Linked DNA regions of Lytechinus pictus. The protein of the gene in region 2 interacts with the protein of the main gene of each other region in a pairwise test. Links are inferred from orthologs where the notes say so. Each region holds a gene or a part of one and is shown on either strand. Other genes may lie near its edges.

What was found.
Region 1: the proteins of arf-GAP with coiled-coil, ANK repeat and PH domain-containing protein 2-like (region 2) and ras-related protein Rab-35-like interact in a two-hybrid assay, tested with the Caenorhabditis elegans proteins (2 studies listed by BioGRID). The link is inferred for Lytechinus pictus from reciprocal best matches to the Caenorhabditis elegans genes cnt-1 and rab-35.

The regions. Positions count from the first base shown.
Region 1 is NC_087246.1:23,246,204-23,262,696, reverse strand, and holds the start of ras-related protein Rab-35-like, read right to left. Parts: upstream 8,513-16,493; coding exon 8,464-8,512; intron 6,772-8,463; coding exon 6,721-6,771; intron 5,900-6,720; coding exon 5,776-5,899; intron 3,732-5,775; coding exon 3,607-3,731; intron 2,827-3,606; coding exon 2,702-2,826; intron 1-2,701.
Region 2 is NC_087258.1:14,594,780-14,611,751, forward strand, and holds the start of arf-GAP with coiled-coil, ANK repeat and PH domain-containing protein 2-like, read left to right. Parts: upstream 1-9,829; 5' UTR 9,830-11,164; coding exon 11,165-11,230; intron 11,231-12,402; coding exon 12,403-12,500; intron 12,501-13,550; coding exon 13,551-13,602; intron 13,603-14,419; coding exon 14,420-14,520; intron 14,521-15,291; coding exon 15,292-15,418; intron 15,419-16,329; coding exon 16,330-16,462; intron 16,463-16,972. UniProt on the Caenorhabditis elegans protein: GTPase-activating protein for the ADP ribosylation factor family. Regulates endosome recycling downstream of rab-10 and upstream of arf-6.

The DNA.
Region 1 (16,493 bases), on a different chromosome or scaffold from region 2:
TTAAAAAGATAGTACATTTCAAATCTAACTACTTTTAATATTACTTTAAAGTCTGAATGAAAACTAATACTTAATAAAGAATTATCCTATAAATGAAAACTTAGAAAGAGCAAGCACGCAAGTGTCAGAATAACCTGATTGATTTGTTAGAGCATCAAAGAATACTCCCAGTTAATATTCCCTACGAGCAAGCTTTTTAAATAATTATCATTCTGCCCAGGCTCAGGGTTTGACTTTAATAAAGCATGGTTGCATTCATACATTTTTTTCATTTAAAATGACTGAAAATGTAAATATTTGAAGCTTAATATTAAGCTTACCAGAATTGATGGAATGAAAAGCTCAATACAGATTGTAATCATGATGCATTGCCTTGAAATGAAAACACCAATATTTATCTACGGTACGTGGTTCAGAATATCAGAACTATGCAATATGCTGCAAATAATAGAGAAGCATGCATTGAGCGATGATCATCACTTGCAAGAGCCCTCATTGCTTTTTCTAAAATAAACTATTCTTTTAATAACAGGTTGATACATAAAGCTCATATGAACACTGCCCAGTAGGAATGGTGATTTAAAAAAAAACATTGTTTTGTTATCATGATTGTATTTTGCAGCTTATAAATTTGTATGAATGCAGCCTGAATGACTCAGGATGTACATCAACAGGAGAAAGCTATCTACTATAACTGAAACTAAAACTAAACTTTATTATCACGTCAGATCGCAGTCTGACATGTTATTAAGGAAAACTGTTTCTTTAATTCCTTGAAAAATATCATTTAAAAAATGAATTTTGACCCTTGATCATTGTGAAATCTTTTATGAACATAATATTGACAATATAACTCTAAGACATCAAATTCCTTTGATGCTTCAAAGAATGTTTGGCTATTTTTGGCTAAGAAATAGAACCTACCAATTTCAACCAAATATGCATTAGATTATGTCTTCAAGATAAAATGAATTTATTACCTCTTATTTTGCCCAAATTTCTTGAAAGATGATGGTATTGTGTTTTTCTCCACTTTATACTATTTACCTTATTTTGACAAACAATAATATTCGTCCAGTCCCAAAAAATGCTACATACAATACTTTCTACTCGCTCCAACCTAAATATAACCTACTTAAAGGAGAATGAAACTCTTGGAGCAAGTTAGCTTTAGTGAAAGCAGAAAAATCAAAGAATAAGATCAACAAAAGTTTGAGTAAAATAGGACTAGCAATAGAAGAGTTATGAGCATTTGAATGTCGAGATCACTAATGCTATGGAGATCCTCCCATTGGCAACGCAACCAAGATCTATGATATCACAGATGAACAACTCTCCCCTTTTGGACACTGAAAATATACCCCAAAACATCTCTTTTTGCTCTTTCTAATCATATGACAAACGATTCATCAATGATATAATGTTGTGAAACCTCTGTACTTGCCCTCTCATAAAGAGAACACCTCACCTTGTGATAGATTCTATAAAAGTGAGAATATAAGTGAAATAAGTACCGGTACTAAAGCAATGAGGGAGTTGTACGTGTGTGACATCACAGATCTTGGTCGCATTGCCAATGGGAGGATCTACATGGCATTAGTGATCTCAATATTCAAATGCTCATAACTTTCTTATTATTCATTCAATCTTCCTCAAACTTTCAACAATATGTTTCTTTGATTTTTCTCTTTGATATTGATTCAGCTGGTTTCAAGGGTTTCATTCTCCTTTAAGTTGTTTTGAATGATGTAGATATTTTTTCTTCATCCTTAGAACTTTTCTTTAAAAATATATGCTTTTCACACTGCACATATTTTCCTTAACCCTAGGAAAAAAGGGGGGTCTTAGCCTCACTAATTTCCAAGGGTTAAGCTTAGCCCTCTTCAGTTTCACAGTACGTTTTTATAGCAAAGTGGGCTAGCATGGTAAATAGTACAGTAATATCTGGCCCTGCAAAAAAGCAAGGTTAGCCGGCTTTATTGCGGAGCTTAGAGATGCAGTGTGAAATGAAACCGGGCTAAGGAAAAGTGGGGCTAAGCATTAGCCAATCACAAAAGTCAAAATTGCACGTTAATCACACTCTGTAAGGCAAAAATCATAAATATTCATGAGCTGTACGATAGTCGGGGGTTAAGGCGTTAACCCCGGCTATTAAGCAAATAGTATAGGGTTTAAAAAGACAGTGTGAAACCAAAAAAAAGATAGTATGGGGTTGAGGATAGTCCGGGATTAAGGAAAGTATGGGGTTAAGGAAATGCAGTGTGAAAAGCATAATAGTAACTAAAATTTTTAAAAGTCCATATACTACAGTAAAATAACTAAAAACTTAATTCTCTCCTAATCCCTAGCTTAAAAAAAAACTAATGAGATTGAATTACCATATTTTAAAAAATACATATATATTAGATTTGAGAATTGTCCTATTTCCATAAACTTCACCGACCCTGCTCCCTCCCCCTCACTGGGTTTCGCAAAATAAAATAAAAAACTGATGCTGTATTTTGTTATTAACAATTACTTTACACCTAACAAATCAAACAAGGCAACTACATGTATATATTACGCCTATATGAATATACAATTGAATTTGCATGCAGGGTTTTATATGAATGATTATATACAAATATTAATAGAGACTATTATAGCTTATTAATGTATAGATAACAGGTGACAGTTTGAAGCCTTTTCTGATATAGTATACCTCTTCTACATTAATGTTTTCCTTTGCACTAGTTTCATAGAGTTGAATATTCATCTGTTCTGCAAACTTCTGGGCGTCTTCCGTCTCAACAACTTTCCTGTCTGGTGCATCATTCTTATTGCCAACTGAGGGAGACAGACAAATAATGCAAAGAATAACTGTCAGTGTACTATGTACAATGCATACGTCAAGCCCATTAGAAATAACATGATGATGATGATGATGACAACAATGAGGATGATGATAATCATTATTATTACTTATTATTATTATCATAATTATTGTTGTTGTTGCATTATTATTGCCAGCTAAATCAAACATTTTTATTTCAAATCTTGTCCTTGATACTTTTTGGTTTGGCTTGGATAGATGGCACTCAAGTCAAAAGTAAGCCTAACTATAACAGCGGTGATTCGGAACTTAATACAATGAATGGTTATCAAGTGCTTTTTATAGTTAGACCATTCATTCCCAGGTACCTATAGAATGGGAAGTCTGTCCTATTACAACAGTTTCAATAGAAACAGAAAAATAAAAGGAATGTTTTATGTAGGCAACTGTCAAACAGAAAGGAAGAACTAAATATGATTGAAGTTCAACCTCGCTTTAGAATGATTCATTGCTATCAAAAGAGATAATTTGTCCTACACTTCACCAGTGGTAATCATAGTATCACTTATCTCCGAAGGGGCTGTCATACCTAGATAATTTTAATAGCCAGAGTATTAAAGCAAATAATGTATGGCAATCCAATGTATCATATATTATTTACCCATATCAGACAAGAATATACAGCATATAGAGAAAATATTTTGAACAATCATGTCTTTTAGATGTTGGCGTTGCTGGCTTTCCATAGTTGTGGTTCGGCCAAGGTGTGAAGCCCCTCTAAGAGTCATACTTACCTAATATCCTACTGACGTCTTCACAATTCTGATCTATTTCATAGAGCCATCTCTTCACGTTGACAAATGATTCTGCACTACATACATCATAGACTACTATCACTCCATGTGTCCCTCTGTAATACCTGCAAGCAGTCACATCATCAATATGAACATCATTTTATATAAAGCCAGTGTAGTTCATTCCAAACAAAATACAAAATCTATGAAAATATATCATTAAAATAAACCATTAAAACTCAGGTACATTGTACATGCTAGTAATACAATAAATTGGATATTTTGTATTTTCAGGCAAATAGATACATACGCATTGCTTTGCTCTAAAAGTATACTATTTGGTCTTTTAGTATTGTGACAAGCACAAGGGTATATATTGTAGGAAGATCTACTGTACATGTATCATGATTGGTTTATATTTGATTCAAAGGTTAAGGATGAGTTTCAAGTTATGTATTGGAGGCAAAAAACTTGAACAGTGATTACTATAAAATCTATCTTTTACAGCAAGACCAAATGAAATGTTCACAGATGCCACAATCGACGACAATACTGTAGGTGGGGAAAACTATCAGGGCTGGGCCTATTGTACACACAATAACAGAAATAAGGTGTTTATTTATTGGAAAAAATAGGAATTCTGATTTTAGTCTTAAGTGGTATCCTTGAATTTAATATACTTAACAGATTCTGGTTGAACAAGGAATTAATTTTGTCATTCATCCACCTTGATAATGATAATGAATTTAAAGTAAATACCAGAAATGTGAGTGTACTTTTAGGTTGAGCATTATAATGCACCCAATCCAAACACAACCCTCTACAGAGTACATGTATTTTGAGATGGAGAGAATATGAGATTGAAATGTTGACTTTCAACATTCTCCACATCTTTCCATGGGAGTTATCTAAATAATTCCCTGACTTTCCCCCATGCCGTCGCTCTCATATATCTTGCCCTTACTCTGCCACTATTCAAATAAACAGGTACAGCCATATGCTACAGCCATACCAAACCTGCTCCAGAATTAACAACTTTCTGAAGTCTTACTCCTCATTATCATAAACATCATCACAATTTTCTCTTTAACTTTTATTTCCTTTATAGAAGTGGAGGAGGCAGAGCTCTACTCTTTGCCTTGTCTCCATAAAACAGTTTAAAATGCTGTCAGTACATGGATTTACATGTACAATGTATGCATGCAGTCGAGTGTCCCAAATGACATGAAGTTTTAATAGCAAAGAGTGCATTTCATTGAATATTGATATGTTGACTCATGCTAGCAATTCGCATGACCTAATGTCGCATGTCAGAAGATGTCCTTTATAACTCATACATACATGTACACCGTATACAAATGACATAAGAACCGGGGGTCTTGTTACACAAAAGTTGATATGAGTGCACAACTTGCTCTCATCCAATCAATTACCCCCGGGGGGGGGGGGGGTTGGCAGTCAAATATATTGCTGTACACATGCATGACAAAAAAACGTGTTTAAAGGGGTGTTTTTTTTTTCCGTTTTGGACGCGGGCTGCGCTTTCACTAATTAAGGGTATCAAAAACACTGATTTACAAGAAAAAGGGTGGTTTTTGAAAGACTGCTCAATGGTCAATCGCAGGGTCAAACGTATTTACTCTATCAAGCCATACTAAGCATTGTAACATCAAAATATCACAGCTAATTATGCAAAATTTACATACGTGTATGTATCCGCCTGTGAGCAGCACATTGTCTACAGGCACAGACCCTGATTGAAATTTTGATCAGCAAGTGTGTCTCCACGCAAAGACTAGCACATACAATACTTGCTGTTTCAATCCTGAGCGAGAGGGCCTTCAGTACACAAGGCATGAGTAGGGTGCACATTTCAGACCCTTAACTCGAGTGAAGGGTTTGCACAGCAGACTAAGCAGCACGGGTGACCATGTGTACAGAGTATGTACTTTTGTAAACTGCATGCTAGCCAAACTTTAAGCCTGGTATGGGGCTGACAGATTTAAATACTTGGCTAAAAAGGGCAATTGAAATAATGGAATTTAACTTTTAAAAGCAGGATACTGCTCACGTAAAATACTTAAAATTGTAGCAAAAGTATTGAACCGAATACTGGTCCAAGCCTACAAATGCACAGTACATGTACAGTCCTAATTTGCCACCCCTTACGTTGATGTGATGGTTCTGAATCGCTCTTGTCCCGCCGTGTCCCAGATCTGTAACTTGACCTTTTCACCTTTGACATCGATCGTCCTGATTTTGAAATCTACACCAATAGTTGTAATATAGGAACCTGGAAAAACAAAAGGAGGAAAAGTACATAGATTTGTATGAATGAATCAATTAAATGACTGTTGAGGGGATAATCGAAACTACGAAAGGAAACTGGATATGCATAAAAAAGCAAACTCGATAGTGGTACACACTTATGCAAACTATCAGTTTATTGCTACTAGAACACATCCATCACAACAGTAACCATACCTCTAAAACGTATAATATCCTTATTCATATTTTTTTACAAGATTGGTAATTTATCATTTTTTACAATAGAAAACACATTGGTACTGTGTACATGTACATGTACATGCAATTTCCAAAAGAGAAATTTAACAGATAAGAACAAGAGGCAAAAATTGAAGAAAGATAAAATCATACTGCCAAATTTTGGTAAGAATGGGGGGGGGGGAGGAGAAAGGATCTAAAAAACAGAAAGATACATGTTTAGAGAGAATGTGTGTAGCCTATGAGAAAAAAAAACTTTTTCTGACAATTCTTTACACATAAATGAGAGGAAAGTAGGTAAATATCAATAAACAATGCAATCATAATCACTTTCTAAAAGGCACTCCAAAAGAAGTATAGAAGTTTATAGACGGGATGATATTGATACCTGAACATACAAACTACATCTTTTGTACATTTTTCTTCTTTGACAATTTGTTTAATCTTCCTAAAAGATGGAGGTTTGTTTTTTACCTTTATCAGATTAAATATACTTGGGCAATGTCCCATACTGACCACCCCCCCCCCCCTCCCGCTAAAGAAAACCATGGCATTTTACACTTTTGCAGTACTTCTTACAACAAGTGATATACCTGGTTTCCAACTTACCTGAAAATGTGTTGTCTGCAAATCTCAAAAGAAGACTACTTTTTCCTACACCTGCAATCAGAAAACACAGATAGAAAATGCAATTTTAAGTGAAGTCATACAAAAAAAATCATGAGGGAAAGGGTTAATATCATAATTCAAGGGAACAAGTCATTAAATAGAAGTAATAAGTTAATATACATTGTAAGTCAAGGGATCAAGCCAGAGTATTAAAGTTGTGGGAACGAGTTAGAAAAAAAAACATGTCAGGTGTCAACTTTGGGGCTTCATGATAAAGGCACAGCTCTTTTATTGACCAATAGTATCATCAATGGCAATGTCATCTGACAAAGCAACCCTAAATTGCTTCACTCCACAGTTAATACTTTTCCTATAAATTTAAACAATGACATACAAGTACAAGGATCTGTGGCTGAATCAATCACACAGGACTGGGTTCTTTGCTCAGCAGCTGACTTTACATGTATGTCAGGCATATACATGTAGGTATATGTAGTGCCTTTTAATTCTTTGATCTACATGTACATGAGTTATCGCAACAATATGAAACAAAAAGTATAGTGCAGCTGTAATCTATGGACAGGGCAATAAATCTTTTGCACTGTAGCTACATTTACACACATAAATACATGTATGTAGATCTACATGTATCTCTCTCAATATGCTACACTACTGAGCATATAGTGTACATGTAGGCTTCTAGGCCTTCATGTTAGTAAATGTTGATGTACTGTAGTTTAAAAGTGAAAATTTCCACAGAATATATAATGTATAATTTGTGTTCATTAATAAATTTACTGCATGTACCTTCTAAAATAATAATAATCATGAAACTATATGAATACAGTTACATGTAGCATTGAGGCAGGGGAACTACATTTATTGATTGAATGTATAAAGGCATACACTAACCCGCTTTGGGTTCCAGGATTCCAGCATCATAATTTTCTGTTTATTAACTACAAATAATTATAAAGCAGCTACAGCACATGTACGGTAAAACTTGCAGGTTCAACATGTTTTCAATGCCTGTGAACCCCCTCCACAAACTTTGGAGGTGCAGCAAGTTAAAGGGGAAGTTCACCCTGACAAAAAGTTTTTTGTAAAATAAGCAGGAAAAATCATTTTAAAATATTGCTGAAGTTTTGAGAAAAATCCATCAAAGAATTAAAAAGTTGTACGAATTTTAATTATTTGATTTGTGACATCACATGCGAGCATCATTCCTACATCTACATGTAGCAAATGGTAAAAAGAATCAATGAAATGTAATTTTCTCAAAAAATTGAGAATGGTTTTTACTGTAGGACTACTTTCATATATATGGACAAATCACTTCACACCCGATCATGAAAAGAAAACGAAAATACGTCATCAGGAACCATTAAAAAAATGAAAATCACAATTATTCATGATTTTATATCATATAACATATGGGCAGGTGCTCGTTTATGACGTCACAAATCCAAAATTAAGAATTTTAATAACTTTCTTAATCTTTAACGGATTTTCCTCAAACCTCCACCACTATTTTTAATTATTTTTTCTGCTATTTTTACAACAAACGTTTCTTCTGGGTGAACTTCCCCTTTAATTTCATTATTTTCTCAAATTTTTAACAGATTGGCTATACATTTAACAAGTACTTGGCTGTATATTTCAAAGTAGCCTTGATAAACTGCCAAATATCAACTGGTGGCATTCTTTCTGAAATCAATGACAAATGCAGCAAATTTGGCATACAAGAATTAGCAGTTGCAACGTTAATAAGACTCAGATTGGGGTGTGTCATGTTGGGCTTGAAAACACTCAATTAAAGCCACCTTTTTAAGTTTAAGTCCACCCTAACAACAAGTTACATTAGATGGAAATCTTGTCTCATATTGAAGAGAAAATTAAACAGCATAGCCCTGAAAAGGCCAAAATAATACAAATAATTGATATTTCAAACTTATGCTTGACACAAAATAGATCTACACTGTATAGGCTTGTACATGTATGCAAAAACATCTGCAATAGAGAGATTTCATGATATTGCATGCTCATTACATGTACATGTACATGTATTTCTTTTTATTTTATTGTATGAATCACACAATATTTCAATATTTGCAGATTTGACAACATTCAAGGAAACTCTTTAACAATTCAATCATGTTGTGCAATAAGTACAACAATGGCAATTTTGCATCATCAGGAGGGATCAAACTTTGTTTCAATTTATAGGAAAATCTGTTTTGAATTACCAACTGGTACAAACCAATAGAATACTTGATACATGTAGATGTACAAAAACAAATTAACCAATTCGTGAAAGAGGATGGACCAACAGGAAATTACATGTACATGTACATCGAAATAAGTTTTATAATTGTTAATAATCATAATGATTTTACTCAGGGTAGCCACTTCAGTTCTGTTGGAATTACCCCCCCCCCCCCCCAAGAAAAAATAATAAATAATAAATGACAAATAAATAAATAAATGAATAAATAAATACATAAATAAATAAATTAAATAAATTTGAATTGAAAATAAAAATGAAAAAATAAATGAAAAAAATTACAAAAATAAAATTCAAGAAAGGGGACATTAAAAGATTGAAGGAAAAACAAAGAAAATAAACCGACAGAGGGAAAGGGGGGGGGGGGCTTTATGGGAATACATAGGCCTATACATGTACATGAAAAAATACAGGGAGATATAGGGGAAATTAACATACATGTACATGCTAAAGGAAATACATGTCAGCCTACATGAAAATAACAGTAAATCTTCATGCAGCACATAAGCTTGTGTGGCATGTACTGTATAATTATGTAGGAACTTCATTGCATTTATTTACATTATACAATACAATGGAATATTGTGCAGTTGCCAAGTCACTATTACATGTAGATACAGGTCCTACATGTGCCCAAAGACTCATACATGGTCTATAATAGTAATGTTGCCATTCTTTAAAGCAGATATGAACCAATAGGCAATAGCGCCATCTCGAGTCCTCAACTACTCATACCTGGCCAGTTTCCTGACCCATAATGCTAGTGTAGTCAAGTAATATAGACCCACTTGAATGATAACATGTTAATTAACCACTCAATACATTTACAAGTATACCGCAATAATTATGTTACAAAGTAGCAAAACGATTATTATTCCTCTCAAAACATTTTAGTTTCTCTATACAAATACAATTATAGGTCAATTTATTCTCTGTAGTGTTAGTAGATATCTGAAAACGTATATTTTAAGACTATGTATTTGTAAAACACAGTCAATGAAAGACCACACACAGTTCACTCCCCCTTTAAAATGTAGGGAGTCCACTTTTTGTTTCTTCCATGCAGTTTTATATGTAAAAACTAATACCAAACAGTTCGGACAATTACCGTATAGTTAGAAAAATCTAAGAGAGTACATGTAGCAGGTTTCATAGTGGGCTGTGCACATGAGTAATACAAATGTGCACTTTACTGCTCCATTTAGTGCCCATCCAGCATGACTTTTGTTTTGGGGGGAGGGGATATGAGAAGGAAAAATTGGGTCATGAATTGCTTATATACTTTTATGGCCAGTGAAATAATTCTGAACTCTGTAATTATGGCACCATGATGTAAAAATATTAAAAGGCACAGACTTAAAAAATGTCTGGCAAAAAATGCAAATGTCACATGTTGTTAACATTTGTATTTGGTGAATAATAATACAATAATAATAACTAAAAAGAGGGTTTATAGTTTATGCACACATATAAAACTCTATTTCTACAATGCAGTGTATTAAGCTCTCAAATGCTGCAAGAATGTAGATCTAGGCTGACATGTTTTTTTTTACTTTGTTGATTTTATTCTTATCAATAGAATTATCATCACCTGTAATATTATCAAATTCACATTATCATCACCTGTAATATTATCAAATTCACATTATCATCATTATCATCATCCTCATCATCAACATCATCACCATATTAAAGGTTTTAGCCTTAGGTTTGAAAGACTTAAACAGTACCATGCAAGTAACAAAATGTAGGCCTAAACTGTCAGTCAGCTGTGGATTTTTCTGGGAATGGGACGTTTAAATACATCCTGTACATGTATGTAAATACTCCTCCAACTTCAAACACTTCCTTTAAATGTCTGGCAAGCAGTTAGCAAGCCTCCAGAGAGAAGGGTATAATGTGAAGCGCAGCATTGAGTTATTTATGGCCATCAGAGGGAGAATGAGGATATTCTGTCACTGGTGATTTCCCTATGACACTAAATTGATCATGACCCACACCATACAACACTGACACCGTTCTCACTACCGTCCTAAAATACTGGAAACTACTTTAGTGGAAACTATTTAATGCATAATGAGAATGGTCAAAGCGGTCTTGGAAGCGATCATCAAAACTGGTTAAGAAAACCACCTCGCGATGTAGGTTTGAAGATCACTTTGCCTCATTAAACTGGTTTTATCGTATTAAAGTGAGGACACGACCGTTCTTTATAGGAAAGCGATCTTCGCACATTTCGAGTGCGCTACTCCACACACTGTGTGTAGAATGCCTATGCTGCAGTTTCAAATTTTGTGTAAAACATGTCACCCCACTAAGAGTGTACCCATAGCGACAAGACCGCTTTACGTGAAGTTGTTTTGAAAACCACTTTCCGGTGACCAAATGGAAACGCTCGCAAAGCAATCTTTTGAACTGGTTTCCTGAATCGGTTTCCAGTAAACCAGTTTTAGAAAGTATAATGAGAACGGTGTCACTGTCTTCTAATAATATTGCAATTACATAGTGTTCACACTGGCCGGGGGGGGCGGTGGCAGAAAGATGCCATGAGCGCCACTTTCAGAGGATGCGGAAATTCAAAAAGACAAAAGAAAGAATGTATTAAAGGGGAAGAAAAAAAAAACACTTTTAAAATGTTATCTCACAGGCAACTACACAATACATAAAAGAAGCTCCATGGCATCAAAATGTGGATAGGGCACAACCTGGATTGTGGATACTGTATCCTGATGTAAATTTGATGTAGACATATGGCCTATTATAAACCTCTCTTTAAGAATGTCGAATAATCCGTTCCTCTGATTGGTCAAAACTGAGGTCATGTAAACGACCATGCCTTCAAAACAACAAATTAAGGTGGTAACCAAGGGCAACGGGCATAGTTAACAAGATTTCTGCTTGTTGCCCCCTGACCCACCCCTTAACGACGGGCATGGCAAAATTTGGCCGAGATCCCCATTTGATTGCATGCAAAATGTTGCTTTCTGCGGTGATTGCGGATACCATAAATATCCGCGCGATTTGATCGGAAGTTTTAGACAATTCGCGCATTTACGCGCTTATAGCGCTAGTGCGCGCAACGGATATGTCACATCGATGGAAAGATGCCGATCTTTGTCTTTTGCTTGTTGATTCCTGTTAAAATATATGGCATTATTTAAAAGAAGACTAACTTATTAAGGACATAACGGATGTATCAATCATCAAGTCTTGTTGCAGTTTTTCATTGAAATGCATGCTCGCAAAAGGTGAGTCGAATGAAAAGATAATACCGTACGGTCACTGCACTTTCTAATTAAAGTTAGATTTATAAGTAACGTTAGAGTCTAACGTTAGACTACTCGTTAGGTATGACAAACGACAACGTTAGGTCGTGAAATCTACCGTTAGCTTTTATAGGAGTTAAGAGTAGATTCAAGATCTAAGTTAGATCTAATTAACGTTAGGCCTAATGTTCCGTTTAATCTTACTTTGGATTTGACGTAGCCGAGATCTAACGTTCATGACGTCGGTTAGATCTAACTTAGACTGTAACGTTAATGGAGATTTAACGTTAAGTCAGTAAACTTAACTTGGGGTAGCCTAGTTCAGACCCTAATTTGGTTCCTAAATAGGCCTAGTGGCAGTACTCAGTAGATCTAATTGGTATGGAATGCTTTAGTATTCGACTTCGAGACCTAACGTCAGGGGCAGGGCTAAGTTAGGGCCTAACGTTAGGCCTAATGTAATGTTAGCCTGTGGCTTAGGGCTTTTAGGCCTAAAACTTGTTTAAGATCTAGATCTAGCGTTAATTCGGTTCATAAAATATATATGGACTGCTTTTATATTTCGGCTCGCGGGTACCGCATCGGCCAGACCATGCCCTCGGGCATAGTCGCGCTGCGGCCCCCTTGAGCCTCTAGAAACAACCATGCCTCTCAAAGCAGTCCATATATCTATACTGTATTTCATGAATGGAGTACAGTGTATGAAATACATGAGGGTCATGTTTAACCCAAACAATATTCAAGAAAGTTCAGAAAATCAATATACAACAGAATGGGAAATGCATCATTGCTTGCTGCACAAAAAGTGGCCCTTGAAAATTAAATAGCCCTCAAAATTCAGTAATTGCCCCCAATGTGGAAAAACTAGCACAGGTCCCTATCCTGATGGAGTATGAACAGGCAAAATTGAAAAACAATGAAGAAAATATTTTTCTCTTACTGAAGAAGAGTGACACAAATAATGCAAGCATACATTATCTGACTGATTGAATTAAAAGGACAGTTGGTGAAATCGTTTTAAATTTTTTGAGAAAATAGTTTGTTATGGAATATGTAGCCCCTATCATATGCGTTTTACATAATTTATGGCAAAATTCAACTTTCCTTGTTCAAAACTGCATGTAAAGGCCTACATGTATAGGTCAAGGAAGTCCATGTGAACTGTAGTAGCTAGACAGGCCTTAACAGGATGTTTAAGAATACATGTAGTTCTACATTTTGTTTCAGATATTACACTTGCTCTTCAATTTAATCAATTTCACTCCAGTTTATCTTATAGTTAGACAGTCTATCAAGATACTTTGTGGAAAAAACTTGAAGAAGGGTTCACTTAATATTAAACTGCATTTACCAAAAAGCTGAAAATGATGTGCACAGCATTTTCTTTATTACAATATATCACACTCACATGTACATACATACTATGTGTATGTTTGTAAATATTGCAAAATTATTAGCTTTGTGACATACATGTACTGTACATGTATGAATTTTTTAAAAGATTCATAATGTGAATTGGCTGTATTCAGGATTAACCCGTGTACATGTACACGTACATGTAGGCAGGGCTCCACACTAACCCATTTTTTCTACTGGTCCAACCTATTCGTGTCGGACCAGTAGATACCCAGTTTTTCAAATTTTTACTGGTCCGAACCTAAAATCTACTGGTCCCAAAAAATAAAGAAAACATTAAATATAGGCGCAAGTTTATTTTTCTAGCCTTTCGTTCCCCCCCCCCCAATAAAATGAAGGAATGAAGGACAAAAAGAAAGCAAGACAGAAACGAAGAAAGAAAGAAAGAAAGAAAAGAATAAAAGAAAGGAAGGAAGAAAAAAAGAAAAGGTAAAGAAAGGATAGATGTGAAGGAAGGAAAAAAAGAAAGAACTAAAGGAAAGGAAGGAAGGAATAAAGAAGGAACAAAAATAAAGAAAGAAAGAAAAGAAAAAACGAAATGAAGGAAAGAAATGAAGCAAGCAATACAGAAAGAAAGAACAAATCCAGTAAGTAGTAAAGGAAAGAAAGAAGAAGCAATACAAAAGAAAGGGTAAAAGGAGAGATGGAAAGAAGGACAAAAGAAAGAATGAGAGGAAGGAAGGATTGAAAGAAGGAAGAAAGGAATTAAGGAAGAAATAAAGGAAAGGTAAAATGATAGATAGAAGGAAAGAAATAAAGGAAGGGAAGGAAAGAAGCAAGCAATATAAAAAAAAAGAGAAAAGAATAGATGAAAGGAAGAAAAAAAGAAAGACTGAGAGACAAAGAAAGGAAGGAATGAAAGAATAAAGGAGAGAAAGGAAGCAAGCAGTCAAAAAAAGAAAGGAAAGATAAAAGGATAGATTTAACAAAGGGAAAAAGGAAAGAACAAGACATATATAAGAAAGGAAGGAATGAATGTAAGAAAGAGAGAAAAGGTTGGAAGAAGGAAGAAATAAAAAACAACAAGAAAGGGTAAATAAATGATGGATGGAAGGAAGAAAGAAACAAAGAAAGTAACAAAGAATGAAGGAAAGAAAAGGGTAAAAAGAAGGAAAGAAAGCCCGAGAGAAGAGATGAATATAGGATGGATGGACTCAAGAATTAAAGAAAGAAAAATATCAAAAAGAAAAAAAGGAAGGAAGGAAGAAAGGAAGAAAGAAAGAAAGAAAGGAAGAAAGAAAGAAAGAGAAAAAAGAAATAGAGAAAAATATTTTTAAAAGGAAAGAAAGAACAAATTAAAGAAAAAAGGGAAATTAAAAAAGAAAGACAGTAACAAAAAAATTGAAAGAAAAGAGGGAAGAAACAAAGAAAGATGGAAAAGAAAGAAGGAAAGAAAGATAGGAAGAAAACAGAGGAAGAAAGCTAAAACTATCATCAAATAATTTACCAGTTTCTTTTTGGCTCAATTAAAATAGCTACGAAAGAAAGTCAGAAACCAAGTGTATCAACACACACATAAATGCATATGTGGGGCTATTATGTATTCAGAAGATATCACCCGAAACCCGATCTGTTTGAACCAAAACAGAAGTGAAAATTTCTCCTTTTACTGCTTACAAATGACAGAGTTACTCCAATTTTTAGAAAATATGGACTTATAAGAGCCTTTCATGAGTATAAACCGTGAATTTTTACAGTTCTGTGAGACATTTCTGCCAGAGTTTAGCCAAGCTTCGTTCGCGCAGCCAGTAGAGAATTTACCACGTGGGTTGTGTGGCTGGCTACATGTACACTGTATGCTACTCTAGTGTGTGTATTCTGTGTGTGAATGACAGAATTTAACGGGGGGAAATAGTTTGCAGTGAATTTGACCATTTCTGGAAAAGTTATTGGCCCAACAGTGGATTTTATTAGTGGTCATGTCGGACCCTTAAATCTTGCTATTTTTGGAAAAATTAGTGGCCCGAAAATGATATTTTTTACTGGTCATGTCGGACCAGTAAATCTTCCTATTTCTGAAAATCTACTGGCCCGACAGCGATTTTTACCGGTCTGGGACCGTCGGACCGCCGCTAGTGTCGAGCCCTGATGTAGGGGAGAGGGGGGGGGGGCAATTTGAACCCCCTGGCTTGAGAAGTTTTGCTCACTTTCAAATTAGGCCAAACTGACTGCTAGATGAGAGGTATGTTAGCATTGGCACTGATTGTCTATTTTTTGAAGCGACATACATTCATGGTTAGAAGTTGCAGTACATTGTGTACATGTACTTTCAATTAGCACTTTGCAAGGAGTAGTAATTAACAAATACATGTACATGTGGGAGTCGGATGAGTGAATTTCATTTCATAAGTGGTTTTTCCACTTGGGAAGGGGGGGGGGAATAATCCATCTACCCTGTCACTTGAATTTTCATAAAGTTCCTTTGTTTGGTACATGTTAAGTAGCCATATACATGAGAAGGCCTGAAGTACAGTGTATGAAGTTAACTGAGAATCCTTTTGATTTTTCGCCTGGATGTGATTGTATGCATACATGTAGTGCCCCATGTAGTCCGGGTTATAATTGAGCAAGGTGCCACAAGAAAAAGGAGAAATTTTCATATAGTGCTTCTAGACCAGTTATTTACGCTGAATATGAATATATGAGGTAACCAGGCTGTATCCTGAAAATTAACCCGTGAGGGCGCTTTTTTCAAAATGGCCGCCAAATTTTCAGAACATTTGAATTTTCGTACGTAGATTTTGACATAAATATTCCATTGCCACAAAATTAGTGTCATATGAAAGACAAATAAATTTTCTACAATT
Region 2 (16,972 bases):
CACCTGGGTCGAGTGCAGCACGCTGTGGATGAATTCCTTGCTGAAGGAAATTGGGAAAGATTGTAAAGGGGTGGGGTTGTAGTTTACCCCGTTTCCACTTGCAAGGCTGCAAGGTTCATCAGACTTTCAATGTATAAGGGGGGGGGTAGATGATGTACAGCAGAACGGGTAAAATTTTGTGATTGTGAACAAAGAATAATAGTAATAATAATAGCTGGATTTATAAAGTGCTTTTTGCCTGAGGATACAAAGCGCTGCTATTATTACCCCGGCTTTAGCTTGAGCTACCATCACCGACGCTCAGTGCATGCAAGGAATTACTCCTGCCGGGTACCCATTCACCTCACCTGGGTCGATTGCAGCACAGTGTGGATAAATTTCTTGCTGAAGGAAAACATGCCATGGCTGGGATTTGAACCCACGACCCTATGTTTCAAAGGCGAGAGTCGGAACCACTAGACCACGACGCACCCACATGTTTGTATCATCACACCAATCAAATCAATATTTTCAGGAACCAATCCAGGGGTCAGTTTCATAAAGAGTTACAACTGTTGTAACTTTGCCTTTATGGCAACAGGGCTTAGCGGCCAATCAACATCAAGGTTACCATGGTAGTTGCCAGCCATAGTGGCAAAGTTACAACAGTTGTAACTCTTAATGAAACGGGCCCCTGGAGTTGAGTTGACTAGGATGTGCTGTGGTGTGAATACTATATCCTGTGCTAATAGGCAAAGTTTTCTTAGGATTGTTGGTAAAACAAGGAACGAGACAATGATCCCCTCCCATAGGCTAGTACTGCACAAATATTTGATATTGAAATTTGAAGGGGAGGGGGATGGAGTGTCCCCCATTCCCTCGTGGCACAACAAATGGTTGTGCCAACCTGTTACTATCAGGTTTCTAGGACAGCTCTTTCCTATGTCATGGTCTGGTGGTTATGACACCCGTCTTTCAATCTGAGGGACGTGGGTTCGATCCCAGCCATGGCGTGGTTTCCTTCAGCAAGAAATTTACCCACATTATGCTGTGCACACTCAATCCAATTAAGGTGAATGGGGATCTAGTAAAAAGCAGTCAAAGCACTACACCCATGATGATAATGCTGCATTTCTGTAGAGCGCCTAGAGACTCCTGATAAAGTATTAAGTGTAAGCACTATATCATAGCAAGAATGATGTTTTTATCTCAACCTATTTTCAAATATCACAGGTCAGAAAAAAAAAATTACACGCAGTCCGGAGCATGGGAGATTTCACCATAAAAATGCTCAAAGGAACCCTGGAAATCCCCATTCACTTCAGTGTTCAATCTTATCAAGTGTTGCAGATTTGTGCATTAGATTGTGGAACGCCCCCCCCCCCCCCCCAGAAAACGATATTTTTTAAAACCTCTTTTTTTTTGCCTGTCACAGATGATTAATCACCTTTCACCAGATCATGTTCCAAATAATGCACTAAAATAAATAAAAAACCTACCACATTACATCTAAATGTATACATGTTCACTTTATACACCCAGAACTTCATTATTAATGAGTCATGCCGTTATGTCCAATAATACATGTTGTCTGATGAGGTCATGGATAAACTTTCATTTTCTGCTATCTCCGTGTACATTGTAGAATGACAATGTTACTCCCACAGGCAGAGTGTGAGTCATGGTTTATAGCTTGGACATTGAGACAATGCCAGCTGATTTCCTTCTTATGAATGACACTTACAAGAGAAATCGACCCACAATCTGTGGTATAGTGAATTTATCCTTTTATGGAAATACTGTATCTGTAGTTTCTTCTTCCTAAACTTTATACTTTTTATTGGTTTGTTTTTGTAGTTTAATAAACTGTAATGATGTAGCATAATTTATCCATTTCAGAGTAATCTCACTCTGATCGTTACAATACACCGGATTATTCCTGAATCTTGGTGAATAGTTGATTTGCATGCGTCAGTCAATAATTGAACAAATCATGTTCAAAATTGGTGTCGAAGAGAACTGTGCTACAAGATTAAAGAATCTGTTTACCTTTGTGAGTATTTTTGTTATTTACATATCACCTTACAAACCAGCTACCTCTCCACAAGAAATTTTGGAATCATTTTTTTTTGCTGGTACAATTTAAGAGTCGCATGAAACAATAGATCCATCATGATTTAAATTTGAGATTCTTTGTCATAATAATGTCGGTATTTTGTTACAAAAAAGTTCTATAGATAGACAATCGTAAAACAATTACAAGGGTAGCTTAAAACTGAGTAGTAGGATATATGTACTGTACATGTAGGATAACAAGTAAATTTACATCAAGGTCATGTTATGTCTTTTATCCGCACATCCTGCCCATTTGATTTATACAGTCATAGATATAGCTATTCACACTTTATCAGAGCGATTGAGAATCTGCAGGAAAATATCAATTTTTATTTAAAGTAATTTACTATTAAAGGCCAGTTTATAAATAGGGTTTAAAAAGTTCTGAAAAGTCGGTCACTAAATGTACCATTACAAATAATATCTCCTATTGTACATGTATATCATAATTGTGGTGAGCAATAATTGTAAAAATTGAATAGATTTCAAAGGGGAAGGACTGTTTTAAAGCCTATAGGGGGGGTATTTCATTGGTCAATACATGAAGCCACACCCACTCCAATGACGGCCCATTAGCTGGAAGTGTCATTCTTAGACAATATCATCCTCCATTAGAAGTTTCCTCTTTTCTCCGCTGTTCGTCTTACGAAATACATGGTTTGTAAGCAAATAACAGGAACTGATATGACATGCCTACTAATCAGTCTTAATTGATTGACGAGATAGCGTGGGAATGCATTGACTGCAGCAAGTGTTGACCGGCACCCACATGCAGTTTACGAGAGCAACAATGCTCGATGATGTGCCAAAACTATTCAACAGTAAAATAAAACTCATTTTGAACTGTCTCTGGATTGAGCCAAGATATGTGTACATGTATACACGTTTCGGACTCTAAATTGCATTGTATGATCAATAGTTTTGACAAGGTTCATACAAGTATCTCTAGCATTTTGACAGTTCTTTGTCTGTGAGGTTATTCTTTCTTCCTGATGATCATTGCGGACCTATAGTTGGGTTCTGGAAAATAAACTTTGGATATTAAAGAAACTGTCAGTAAAAAAACCTCTGTTGCGATGGCGATATGGTATTGTTCAAATTTGCAGGTTCGTGTGCAGTTATTTTACATTGCATGGCATGATCACAAGCTCTCTATTACTGTACTTGAATGATATGACATACTGATACTGTACAGTGTACAGAGTGTTTATAGGCCTAGATGTGTTTGAATTTCCATTACAAAATGCAGGATTGAAATACAATTTGATTTAATTTTTGTTTTTACTTAATTTCATATTTAATAATGTACACAGCATTTCTGTCTGTATGTGTACGTGATGTAACTTTTTCTTTTCTTTGATTTGATGTATAAAATCTCTGCAACCCATTCTTTATATTACACATTTTCACTCATGATGATGGGGGGGGGGTGGTGGTGGTGGTGGGGGTGATGATGATGGTGGTGGGGGTGGTGGTGGTAATGATGATGATGATGATGACGATGATGTAAATGATGATGATGATGATTATGATGATGGTGATGATTATGATGATGACCATGATCATCGTGATTTTGGTGGAAATGATAATGTTGCAGAACATCCAGTAGACCAATATTAAGAATTTCAGAGAAATGATTCATAGTTTATTAATTGAAATGTAGACTTACACGTTTTAATCTAAAGCAATGTGCAGAAAATGTTTTCCTTACAGAAGGTTCCATTTAATTCAAACCCATGTGCTGGGGGACTTTTCTCTTCTTTGACTCCATTCTAATATACTTTCTTGAATGGGTTTCCTGTATCCACTTCCCAAAACCAGTGTGGAAGATCGCTTTGCTATTGATCTCATCACAGTCTCGTTAATTTTTTCAAAACCACTTCACATAAAGCGATCTTGTTGCTATGGGAATGCCCCTAGTATGCGTGAAATCTAAAAAAGGCAACGTACGTATTCTGCACACTGTGTGTACTGAGTAGCGCAGCTGAGCATGACATACTCTTTTATTATTTCCGGGCGAGGATCACTTCCCAAAGAACAGTTGTGTCCTCATCTACGCTTAAACCAGTTTAATGAGGCAAAGCGGTCTTGAAAACCACATTGCGAGGTGGATTTCTAAACTGGTTTAGAAGACCACTTAAGACTGCTTCTAAGACCTTTTTGAGCATTCCCATTACACATTAGTCTGATTTAAGAAAGCATATGAGAATGGGGTCTGACATACATGTACATGAAAATGAAACTTGTCTTTAAGTTTAAAATATCTTTTGTGTTGAACATGCTGCTAATCTCGCTTATCAATGTGGAGATTTTCCATATCCTTAGCTGCAAGTTCCTGTGATAAAATCTGTTTTACAGTATATTTGGAATTGCAAGATAGTTGAACTCTTCTCAATTTCAAGTTTCATGTTGCTCTGTCATCTTGTCCTGATCAGGGTGTATTTGTAATGCTTTCATGAAGCATTTGCTTAGCTGATCTTCGACTTGACAACTGCAAAGGGCCCCCGATGGGATATTAAAAGATCGCTCAAAGAAAATTTCCTGAGCTCGATGAGATTTGTCCTCAAGGAAAAATCTTGGGAACTTTTATTGAAAGCAAAGCCACCGTAGTTGTTGACAAGCAGTGTGTGGATCGAAATTTCATTATGCAGTAAAATTCGTGTGAGCTTTACGATTGCAGAGATGACTTAAACATTTTACCTGGAGTCCAAGATCAAGGCGAGGATGTTCTCTAAGACTTGATAGTGATTCTGTTTGAGATGTCGGTAATGCTAATAACTGTAAAGAGAATGCCAAGGAGACATGGGTTCTCACACTTCACTGTATTTCTTTTTATTTGATTATGTAATTGTTTTGGTAGTGTTGATTGATACTCCTGGAGCTTTCCAATTAATCACCTAGGAATAGTTTGAGACCTCGAATGAAGGGAACCAAGACTGGAATATCTGTGGATGATTATTACGTCAGTGCTGCCACCAAGTTCATGTGCTTCGATTGCCGATTGGGGGCTGTATCCCCTGTCTCTCATTTTGAGATTGTTGTTTAATTAGAAAACAATCATGCCTTCGGTGTTGATAATCTTGCGGTATTTTCCAGTGGACAGTCCTGGAATAAATGAATTCAGCACTGTCTTTAGAGTAACTTAACTTGTAGGAGGTTTAGAAGGAAAAAATGCATGTTCTGGAGGGATAATCTTGATACTTTCAATTGGACAATCTAGGAATAAAAGGATTCAGCACTGTGCTTTGAATGACTTTATAAAGAGATTTGGAGAATAATTGTGCATTTCCTGTATATTTGGCTTCAAATGGCATCAATTATAGTAACAGGCACTGTCTTTCCAATGTCTTTACTCAGTGTGAAGTGTAAATAGTTCGATGATAAGTTTGCTAATATGCAAGAAAATTGCATGAATGACACTTTCTGATGAATTGGTATTGTACATCTAGTAAAGCTCACAGAATAGCACCTGGGTCATTTTGTTTTTGTTTTGATCAGGTATTTAAACCATTCATGCCTTTTGAATGTCATTGGTTTCTCCTCAATCAGTTTTAGTTTCATAGATCCTCAAGTTTTGAGAGTCCTCAGTACATGTAGGTAGTTCATCAAGGAGAAGCTTCAGATTATCACTTTTACTTTATATGAAAACTAGGTTAGGAAATCCATTTTCATTTTTAGGGGTTACCATATTTTTTGTCACATTGGGATGATAACTGGGGAGCGTTTCATCCGACAAGTTGTCAGATCTGACATCTTTCCCTGATTTTGATTGGCTGAGAGGCACTGTTCCCATGGTAACTGTCAGATAAAATTGGATTTGTCAGATATTAAAAGTCCGACAAGTCCTTTCATGAAACGCCCCCCAGAATTTTTTGGGGCTATTTCTTTTACTTCAAGGACAATCTTTTTGCTCAAATTTTATGCTGTAAAATCATACCTCATTTTTCTTCCATATGTACATGTACATGTAGAATATTAATTTTCTGAATGTTCTTGAATAATGTTTGTTTGCAAATCTTGGGGCAAATTTAGAAAAGATAGCCACCCAAAAGCATTCCATTTTGCAAAGTTTAGGGGCAATTTCAGTTGTCATGAGTGCAAAATCGCCTGTTGCCATCAAATATCTTAGTTTGCAAATGAAAACCATTCAAATACATAGTTTATTGGAGATATGTAATCATATGGCATTCAAATTGTCTTAGGAAAAACAAATGAGAAAGAAAAAATCAGTGCAGTCTTGATTTCTACACATGTATTACAAATCAACATCTGTTGAAGTGATATGTGGATAACAAATTCCTTGTAAGATATATTCAATTTTTGGTCAAAATGCATTCTGCAAGGTGTTTGCTTGTTTTTTTCAAGTGAAAAGTGTTATAAGTCTAATATCCTACATTTTCCAAACTCTCTTTTGGTGATCTGCAAGACATGCATTTAAAATGTGTGCGAAGTCCAAACCTGCATTAGATATTGCAAGATACAAATCCCATAATACTTCCTTATTTTTCAAGTGTGGTTGGTGAAGATGACCATGAATACACCATGAATACACATGTAGGCCTACATATGCATGTAGGACAATGGATATTAATCACCTTGAATTGGTTTTCAAACACCTGCTTCAAGTGGGTAGTACCTTGATGAATTTATCTTCATTCTTAATAGCCAACTTGAACTGTATTGCTTCACTGACGCCCCAGTAGGAAAGACATCAAGTTTTTCATCTGACAAGTTGTCAGATCTGACCTACAAGATCTATCCTACAACAAGTATGGCTTTAAAATTGTATTTAGAAAAGAAAAATGAGAACTAGTTTTCAAACACCTGCTTCAACTGGGTAGTACCTTGATGAATTTATCTTCATTCTTTAGCCAACTTGAACTGTATTCCTTCTGATCACTGACACCCCAGTAGGAAAGACATCAAGTGTCTGATTCAAGCTTCTAGGAAATGGGCCTTACGCTCTTAAAAGCAAGGAAATCACAATCATTTGTACGACTCGTTTTGGGGCTTTGATCCAGATCTAATTTATCAAGACAATTGCAGTCACTCCGCGTGCCTGTCTATCGAGATTCCTTCGATCTCCTTGTGTTTGAATCTGTGTGAAGGACGATTCATGAGAAATAAACTGGAAGATTGTCAGGCGTGCTCTTGTGCCGAAATGTTCCGTTATCTTGGACTCGCCATGACTCCACAGGTAAGAATAAACATGGAGAGATTCGTAAAAAAAAAAATTCTGATGCCATGGGGATGGGGGTACTGCCATTCTTTAGTGGACACCAGCGTGGTTTCCATTTTGTGACAGTGATGCCCCCTCGACCCTCTCCCAGTTGATGACATCGTGTAAAAGCTATAATATTAATAATATAGGTTTATTTACCCAGGGAAGCCACTTCAGTTCTGAAAACTGTTCTCCCAGCGGGCCCTGCTATTATACATAATTGGCATAATTATAGTTGCGTTGTTAATTTTGTTTTAGATTGGTTTCGAAGAAAAAGAGAAAGATCACAGAAATGTGGTCTGGGGAAAAAATCTCATGAAAGGATTTGGTTTGTACTGTACATGGCATTACAAGTGGCACCACAAAATTTGTAAAATAACTAGAAAATTATCAGTCGATTTCCTGATGCTGATCAGTAGCACGTATGACCTCACCCACTTTGATTTATATTGCCAATAATGTCAGCCATTAATAGATCGTGAGGTTTTTATTAACATGAATTATTTTGAATTTATAATACATGTAAATATTTGACTTTTATCACAGGAAAGACTTCAACATGAGGAGCTCAAATGTCCCTCTATCAGCAGAAATCTGATTTTTTTCCCCTGTTGAACATGGAAAGCCAAATTCACCACACACTCGTTACAATCACCCTTACCCCATAGGCCCATACCAATGTATACCTTCTCTTTATGTATTTTTAGATATTTATACATGCATGTTACAACTTCCCACAATTGGTAGAAAAATATCATTGCGATGTAACAGATGCATTTAAATAGATAAGTACAATTTGGGAATTAGAATGGTTGTACTTTTTATCTGGTACCCAATGTAAAGTTTAGACTCTTGATGTACAATTGAGCGATTTAATAATAAAAATAAACCTGTTAAGAACTGTTATCAACTGCTTTAAACTTTATATTACAGATGATGAGTCAAACATGAATTGTCCTTTGCGATTCTCCTGTAAAGTGTACTAAAAAGATCAGTACTGTGCTATGTTTTGTGTATATTGATTAATTTCTTATATCAAACTTTGTACAGATTTGTAAAAAAATAAAAATAAACAAACTAAACATTTAAAACATGATGTTGATTACTATTTTGAAGGATGTGAGTCAGAAAGTTTTGTTCACCAATCTGTCAAATCATGGAGTGAAGTGCGACAGAAATTGAAGCAACTGTTCACCCATTGCCCAGGGATGTATCAAATACTCTCAATTCTCCTCATGCATGCATTCACCCTTGTACAGACTGCAGGCACGGACCCTGATTGAAACATTGATCAACAAGTAGGTCTTCAAAAAAAGATTAAACATGTATAAAACTTTATGGTGTTTCAATTGAGAGAAGGCCTTCAGTCCACAAGACATTATAGGCCTAGACCACTTAGGCCCAGACCACTTTGAGTGTTGAACAGAAGACTATGTACATTCTGTATCAGGGTTAAAGATTTGTACATGTACTGTATGTAGGACAAGGAACATTTATGACATCTGGGGCCCGTTGCAGAAAGAGTTGCAATCAATCGCAACTCTAAAAATCATGCTCAACTTGATTTTCAACCAATCAACAGGGCACATTTGTGACTTGCGATTGATATTTTGATTTGCGTTTAAACACAACTCTTCCTGCAACGAACCCCTGGTGGGTGTTTCATAAAGCTGTTCGTAAGATACAAATGACTTTACGCACGACTGGTGATCCTTTCTTGTGCTATAGCCCTATGTAATTGATTTATGACCTGAGAATATGTTCCAGTCGTGCGTAACTTTACGAACAGTTTTATGAAACACTCAATAGTCGTATGCCGAAAGCCCCACTTCAGTACAATGATTTATATAGTTTAAAAACATTGTAGATTGATCACCTTTAGGTTCTTATGATTTTAAGGAATCTATGATGGTAAATTGCCGATTCGTCTGTTTCTAACTCATCCAATCATCAAATGGTATACCTTCATTTTATAATCTGATACTATTTCGTCTAACAATCATTTGGTCCAATCATCATTTCATCTAATCACCAGTTTGTCTATGACCATTTTGTCTCATAACCAGTTTGTCTAATACCCATTTCGTTTTCATTAATTTCGCTCAATGAACATACATAGTCCAATTAGACCAAATGGTATATGTATATGGACTTAAAATGGCTATTGGACCAACTGGTTATTAGACGAAATGGTGAGTGGCCGAAATTGCAATAAGATAGTGAATAACCATGGATACCAGTAGAGTGAGTAGACCAAATGATAGTAGACGAGTTGGTATGGACGAATTGGCATTAGACCATTGAAAATAAGCCTTTACGATTACATGTATGCTTCACATGTGGTTTTAAATTTGAAAGTTGCAAGTGATGCATCAATCCTTAATAAAAATGTAATATGGAAAACTCCCTTAGATAATCAATAGATTATTGAATCATCCATATTTTGGGAATTGACTAATTTCAGATTAAAACTCTACTTAACACAGTTTATTTACACCAACTCCTTTTATTGTCATTCGGCAATTGCACTAAAGTCAGTTTTTGTTTCATAAGGATTAAGAAAGTTGTTGTGTGCTCACTTGATTTATTACCATACTTCTCATTATGGTTATATGTGAGATTGGCTTTCTGGAATTCCCACTTATCCTCTTTCAATTTTTTGTCTTTGATATCCTTGAATTCCTATGATATAGATTGCATTTTTAATAACAATTTCATGGTTAGAAACATGGTTTTGAAACCTGGTATAGCATTTGCACAATATTTGTAATATAAACAGGACTTTTTAAAAATATAAACATTATTTTTAAAAAGGTTTCGTAATGCATGTGTATGACTCAAAATGCTTTTCCTGTAGAAACCCCTCTCTTGAAATCCTATAAATTCAATGTATCCGAAGCCGGGGTGAAATGATGTCATGGTAAAAAATGAAAGCGTTTTTTGAAAGGAAAGTTGCATATAAAATGTACATGTAGTACATTTAAGACACATGGTAAGGAGAACTCTCTAAAGAAATGCTGCTCTTTTAAAGTTCTCTTTCAAAATATTTACTGGTATTCAAGACCCTGTTCCTCAGAACTATATTGCTATACAGGTGAAGTATATGATAAATTGATGATTGATGATGATGATGATGATGATCAGTGTTATAACTACTGTACAGTTGACGGAAGTGGTCGGGCACAACCGGCACAGAAGATTTCTGGCCGCCTCTCATCATGAAAAAACACTGCTTCTGTCCACCAGTAATTTCAAATGAAAAGTGTTTCAAAACCAACTCCTTACAAGGAGAATTGCTCTTGCATTCATTTCCATCTTAGTTTAATCTTGTTTTATTTACATAATGTACGTTAAATATTCTTACATTTGATATATATTTGTTTATCTTCAAAGATTTGCTTTATACATGTACAGTATGTCAGATTTTTATTACATTGATTTACCTTTACTTTTGGCTTTAAGACCGCTAACTCAGCCTGAAAAATCGTGGTAATGCTGTGAAATAGCGACCACTACTACAATGGGTCTAGCTAGAACATGTGATGATAATGATGATACTACATGTACATACATTCTAAATACTTTACAAATAAATTATTACCCCAGTCGTTGGATTCTGAGTTGCCCACTCACACAGCTGTATGGATGTTCTTCACTCTCTGGGGGAGAATTTCAACAAAGGCTTCCAAGCACAAATGCTAAACAGGGTGCATCAATTGGCTATGAATATGCTCTGCGAATGCAACAGTATGTACACATGAGAATTTCATTTTGCGATATTCTCTCACAACTCTTTGATATCTGTATTCATCCTAGTTCTGTAATTATGTGTCTTTTCAGCTTCAAGGAATGACCACCAAGGCAAGTACTGAGAAGAGAAAAATGGAAGATAGACATTCACTGGTCCAAGAAATGGTAAGATATATCAAAACAGATTTCTATAGATTTACTTGTAACATGTCATTCTCAGAGAAAATGCAGCCGTGTTGCATTTTGTAATGTCACACAGAAAAATTACTCGGGGGCTGGGGGCGATATAGCCCTTGAAATGCTTAAAAGAGCCTTGGAAATCCACTTTCATCGCAATGCTATTAAAAGCTTCTCCAATGTTGCAGATTTAGGAAGTAAGTTGTGAGAAGTACCCCCCCAAAAAAAAAAAAAATAATAATAATAATAATAATAATAAATGATAAAAATAAATAAAATAAAATAAAATAAAAATGAAAAAATAATAAGATTTACCTTTATCATAGGAGTGTGAGAGTTGAGTTTTTTTAGAGTTCGGCTTTTTAATGCTGACTTCAGTTTTTTTATTTCTTGATTTGCAGCTTCTTTAGGGTGAATTTCCTCTGTATTAAGCAGGGGTGGGAGAGTCCAGATTTTTAGCTGATTTCAGATTTTTTTGTTTTGATTTTCAGCTTAATTTCAGCTTATTTTGGGCTTTCCTCTACAAAAATTATGGGAGCTCTTTCTGTTTCAGACTTTTTCAACACCCTTCAGCTTTTTTCAGATCTTTTTGTTTGTGACCACTCACACCCCTGATTAAATTAAAGGATATTTTGCAATTTCAGATATTTTATAAATCTCTTTACTGTTGGTCATTCATAGCTCTGAAAATGTTGGCGGATTGAGGCCATTGGCATGTTATAAGAATTGATATTAAAAACTTTTGAGTAAAGTCTTGAAAAAGAAATAACGGGGAAGCCATTCTTACAATATCTTGTTTGTGATTTCACCTACAAAGCTGCCGTTAGCCAATCAGATAAAGGATTTCAGTTGCTACATGTATATAAACTTGAATAACAGCTGTCAGTGATATCATTTGTATTTTAGTCCAACAAAATTTTCTTAGATTACTGTGGAAAGGTTGGACGAGTTTGATTGATATTTACAAATTCATTTCCATTTCGTTCGTATTGTAATTTATATAAATCATTTTATTTTAAAAAAAATTTGTGTATAAGATATCCAGAATGAAATTTGTTTTTGATATATGGTTAACGTGCAATGTCATATTCATAATTCTTCCTCGTTTATAGATTCATATTTATGATTTCTTGATATTTATACCTTGATTGCTGATACAGGATACCTTGTGGAACATGACCTTTGACCAGAGCAAGACACCTATTATGGAAGGTTACCTGTACAAACGGGCAACGAATGCATTCAAAACATGGCACAGGTATGTTCACATCCAAATATGCTTTCTACACTCACACACCAACGAAACTGACCCTAGACCGATCGATGTTATGTCATTGGTATTATTATTGCAGCTTCTGTCAGTCTGGACTCGGGTTTTTGCTGTTCTGATTGTAGCATACCACTGGCATAGATTCAAGTAGGAAACTATAGGGTTGTTGAGGGGGTGGGTGGGGGATGGGGATCCATTGTGTTTTATACCCCCTATTAAACTGCAATAGCAGGAGGTCATTTATCTCCATCCATGAAATCTAAACTGGGCCCCGTAACACAAAGCTTAGCAATGATCGTAGAACATTTTTCTACAATTGATTCCATCGGCTACAATGTACAATCAATCATCAAAATCAAGTGTACGATTAATCGCTAACCTCTGTGTTACGGGACCCAGGTCTATAGTAGCCAGCAAAGGGTTTTGACAAGCAGTTTGTTCTTTTGCACTTGACTACATGTATGTGAACGTCTGGATTTTGGAGTGTCAATTATCGATCTCAATTTTCCTTTATTGTCTTGTGTTTTCTTTAAATACTACAGTATTTCAATTAAATTCATATAGATTGGGGAAAAGATATCTCTTACCCACCAAAATGAGTACTAACAATATTATTTATAGTGAACACCTGCCTTTAACAACTCATACTCAAAAGTTGCAGAAACAATTAGGCTTTAATTCTAGCCATTTGCAAAGTCCAGCTGAACTTTAAGTGAAGGGATTATGACTCCCTCCCCCTCTGTGTTTCAAGTCAACACAGTTTTATTTTGAGAGGGAGACAATAGAGGATTTTTTTAAAAGAAAAGTTTCACTTAATAATATGTTTAATCCTTTTTAGAAGATTCAGTAGTTCGTCAAATAAACTCTGAATATGCCTTCATGGACATGCATCTTATCGGTTTACTGAACATCATTCTTTAAAAAAGAAAATATCTGTTTATTAGTATTCGTCATATTTTAATTCTACTTTTTCATGTAAAGATACCTTTTATTTGATTCATATTAAGTTGATCCCTTTTTTTAATGTTTAATTTTCAGACGATGGTTTACGATAAAGGACAACCAACTGATATATCAGAAAAGATCTAAGGTAAGAATATCATAATTGAAAGGTGGGGGTAGGGGGAGGGATAGTCTGGTTTCAGGGAAGTGAAAAAGTGAAAAAGTCAGTTGACATTTGCATGTAATAATGTTTTAAAAGTACCTACATGTAATGATTAAATGTGATTAATGAACATTGATTTGAATCAATCTCAATTTGAAGTGATTGATCATTAATGAGTTACAATTAGTACGAAATATATGTTGAGTTGATATGCACAACTTTATTCTTAGATAAGGACTACGCTGGGGGCCGTTTCATAAAGCTGTTCGTAAGTTAGGAGTGACTATGAGAACGGCTGGTGATCCTTTCATGCGGTAAATGATATTCACCATTGAATGTTCTTTTGTGATTATTTAGCATGTAAGAAAGGTTCACCAGTCGTTCTTAAAGTCGCCCTTAACTTATGAACAGCATTATGAAACACCCCTCTGAACGGTTTGTATGCAGAAATACATTTTATAATTTGGTTACAATTTTAGTGGCAACCTAACTTTGTGAAATTTATAAAATCTAAGCTGAAAAACAATTGAACTGAAGATCACCAATACAGGTAATCACACGGACAGTTAACCTATCATTTTTTCTTGGGAAAATGTAGTACATTTGGCTGAAATGCCATATTTTTTTTTTCATATCTCAGCTCATTTAACAATTTCTACTAGAATTATTTGGCACATATTTCCTTTCATGCATACATACACTTAATGGTCATTTTATTCAATTTGTTGGGACTCATTTTTAGTTTGTCTGACAATCTGCACTCACTTTTATGTTTATCTTCATGAATATTTTATTTTGGCAGGGTCAAGTGAGCATAGCTTCCGATGATCTTAGACTGTGCAATGTAAAACCATTAGATGAGATAGATAGACGATTCTGCTTTGAAGTGGTTTCACCTGGCAAGTAAGTTACCATCTTTATTTTTATAATTTCAACAATTCTTAGAGCCATCATTTCCTTCTTTTAATGAAACATTTGTCCTTTTCAGGGTAACCACCGGAATAAGTACACAGTATGTAAAATATGTTTTATTGTAAACACCTCCCATACTCTGCACAACCAATATAAATGTATGACCTGAATTATTTCTTTTAAATATATAAAAGTGGAAACGTTGATAAGTTGAAATTCTTGGCTAATCGGAGCCCCTGTTGCAAGTATAAATGTAAACCACATTGCTATAGATATCACAGCAGTCTTTATGATCAGGACTCTGTTGCATAAAAGTTTCTGTTATGGTAACTTTGCCATCCAATGGTAACTACCATGGTAATGCTGATCAACAGCCAATCAGAATCAAGGATTCCATGCAAGTTAACATTGCATGGCAAAGTTGCCACAATGGTAACTTTTGTGCAACGGGGCCCGGGTATGAAATGCAACTTCTGTGGCTTTTACTCCATCTTAAATCCTAGCTCAAATTTTTGTATTCGTATATTTGGTGTACTCTGAACATCAAATGAGATATTTTTTTCTATTTGAATTTGACTTTATAATAAGTTCAAACAACTTGACCTTAAAGATATTACTTTCCAAAATTTACAAAACGGCAAATAAAAAAAAAAATTGATTGCACACGATACTAACGCACACAGTGAGCTGCAGGAGAAAGGGGATTATGTCGCTTTACTATGAATTATCAGGTAATTTTCTCCTTTGCTTGTCTTGCTTCAGAACCATAGTGCTTCAAGCCGATAATGACAACATCCGTCACGCCTGGATTCAGGCATTACAAGCCGGTATTAACTCGGCTTTCAACAGTCCTATCGCTAAGACTCCACCTGCTGCCTTGGAGAGAGAGGTGGGTATTGTGGAGCATTTCATGAAACATGTAATCAGTGATTTGCTCTGGCAAGTGTTATAAGCTACTGAAATGCCTGCATCTGATTGGCTGAGAGCAAATTTTTCAAACATAATTATTGACAAAATACTTAATGAACACTCCCAAGATTTTGCATGCAAATCTGTAGATTAGAATGAGATGAATAAATGGTAATAAATAAAAGAATAAATTTATAATATTGAAAACATAAAATAATTGATGGCATAAAAAAAAAACATGAATAAGAATCTGAGAGCCAGTGGAATTTGAACATGCTTGTCAGGCAGTAACTTTACCACCAAGTTACTAATGATTAATGGCTCAGTTCTGATAGACAATCTATGTATAGATGTTATTTATTTATTGTAATAAAATTCAATTAGCAGCTGAATGCTCAATTGCAATAGTTTCAATATTAGAGTACAAGCAAAAGACAGAAGAAAAAAATATATATATTTTACCGGAAAAAGGACAAGGAAATGGTACACAATAGAAGTAGGGATGTCAGAAAAAGGAAAAGGTGAAAAGAGAAAATGGAAATTTAAAAAAAAAGTAATGATAACCTCATAGCATTTTAGCATTTTAGGTGGCTAATATTGATTGGGGAATACAAATATCTAATTCCGATTCAACCTGACCTGTTCGACTTGTTGGTACATGTATGTATCTGCGTTGCATGATGTTTTGTGCTGTTTCTTGGACTTTACATCTATGTGGCCTGTAATTGTTTGTTTTCTCTGAAACTCTGTTAAAACATTTTCCTGAATTTGATGGGTTTCCTTTATCACCCAAAACTTCAGACTCTCAGTTAAAGCAAGCTGGATGAAGTGTTGGTCGCTTCAATATTTTTTTCATTTGATTGTCTTCTTGTTTGTTGTATTATCTCGTAGGTCAGTGCATTTGATAATGCTTCACCTTCTCCCGTCAGTACCCAACTCTCCAATGAGTCTAAGAAAGAAGGGATTCGAGCTGAGATCATGGCTATGCCAGGAAATGACAAATGCTGCGACTGTAAAGCTGACAGTAAGATAGTTTATTCATTTATTTATTTTATTTCTGGCAAAAGGTATCTAAATACATTGAAAACTGAAAGACCCATTGACTGGTAGCCAGGGAGAGCCCAAAGGACACTGGTTCCTATTAACCCTAAAAGGACTGGGCTATTTGAGATGTATTGAGGACTGGGGGGTTAAGGGTACATTTTATCCCGGGGCGGATCCTGGATTTACATGTACCAAGGGGGGGGGGGCACATTTTCCCGAGGAAAAATTTGACAAGGTTTTAACTAAACATTAAGGGTAGTGGTCACGAAAAAATATTTGACAGGCAAAAAAAAAGGTCTTCACTTTCAAAAGGAGGGGGGGGGCACACTTCTGTTTTAATGGCATTTTTACATAAAAAATTGTAATTGTGCCTCTCAAAATGGGAGTGGGGCTTGGGCCGGCTTTGCCCCCTCCCCCCTCTGATCCGCCGGTGATTTTATGTTACTTTGTTATTTGATATCCGATTTTGATGAAATTTTCGGCATTTTGC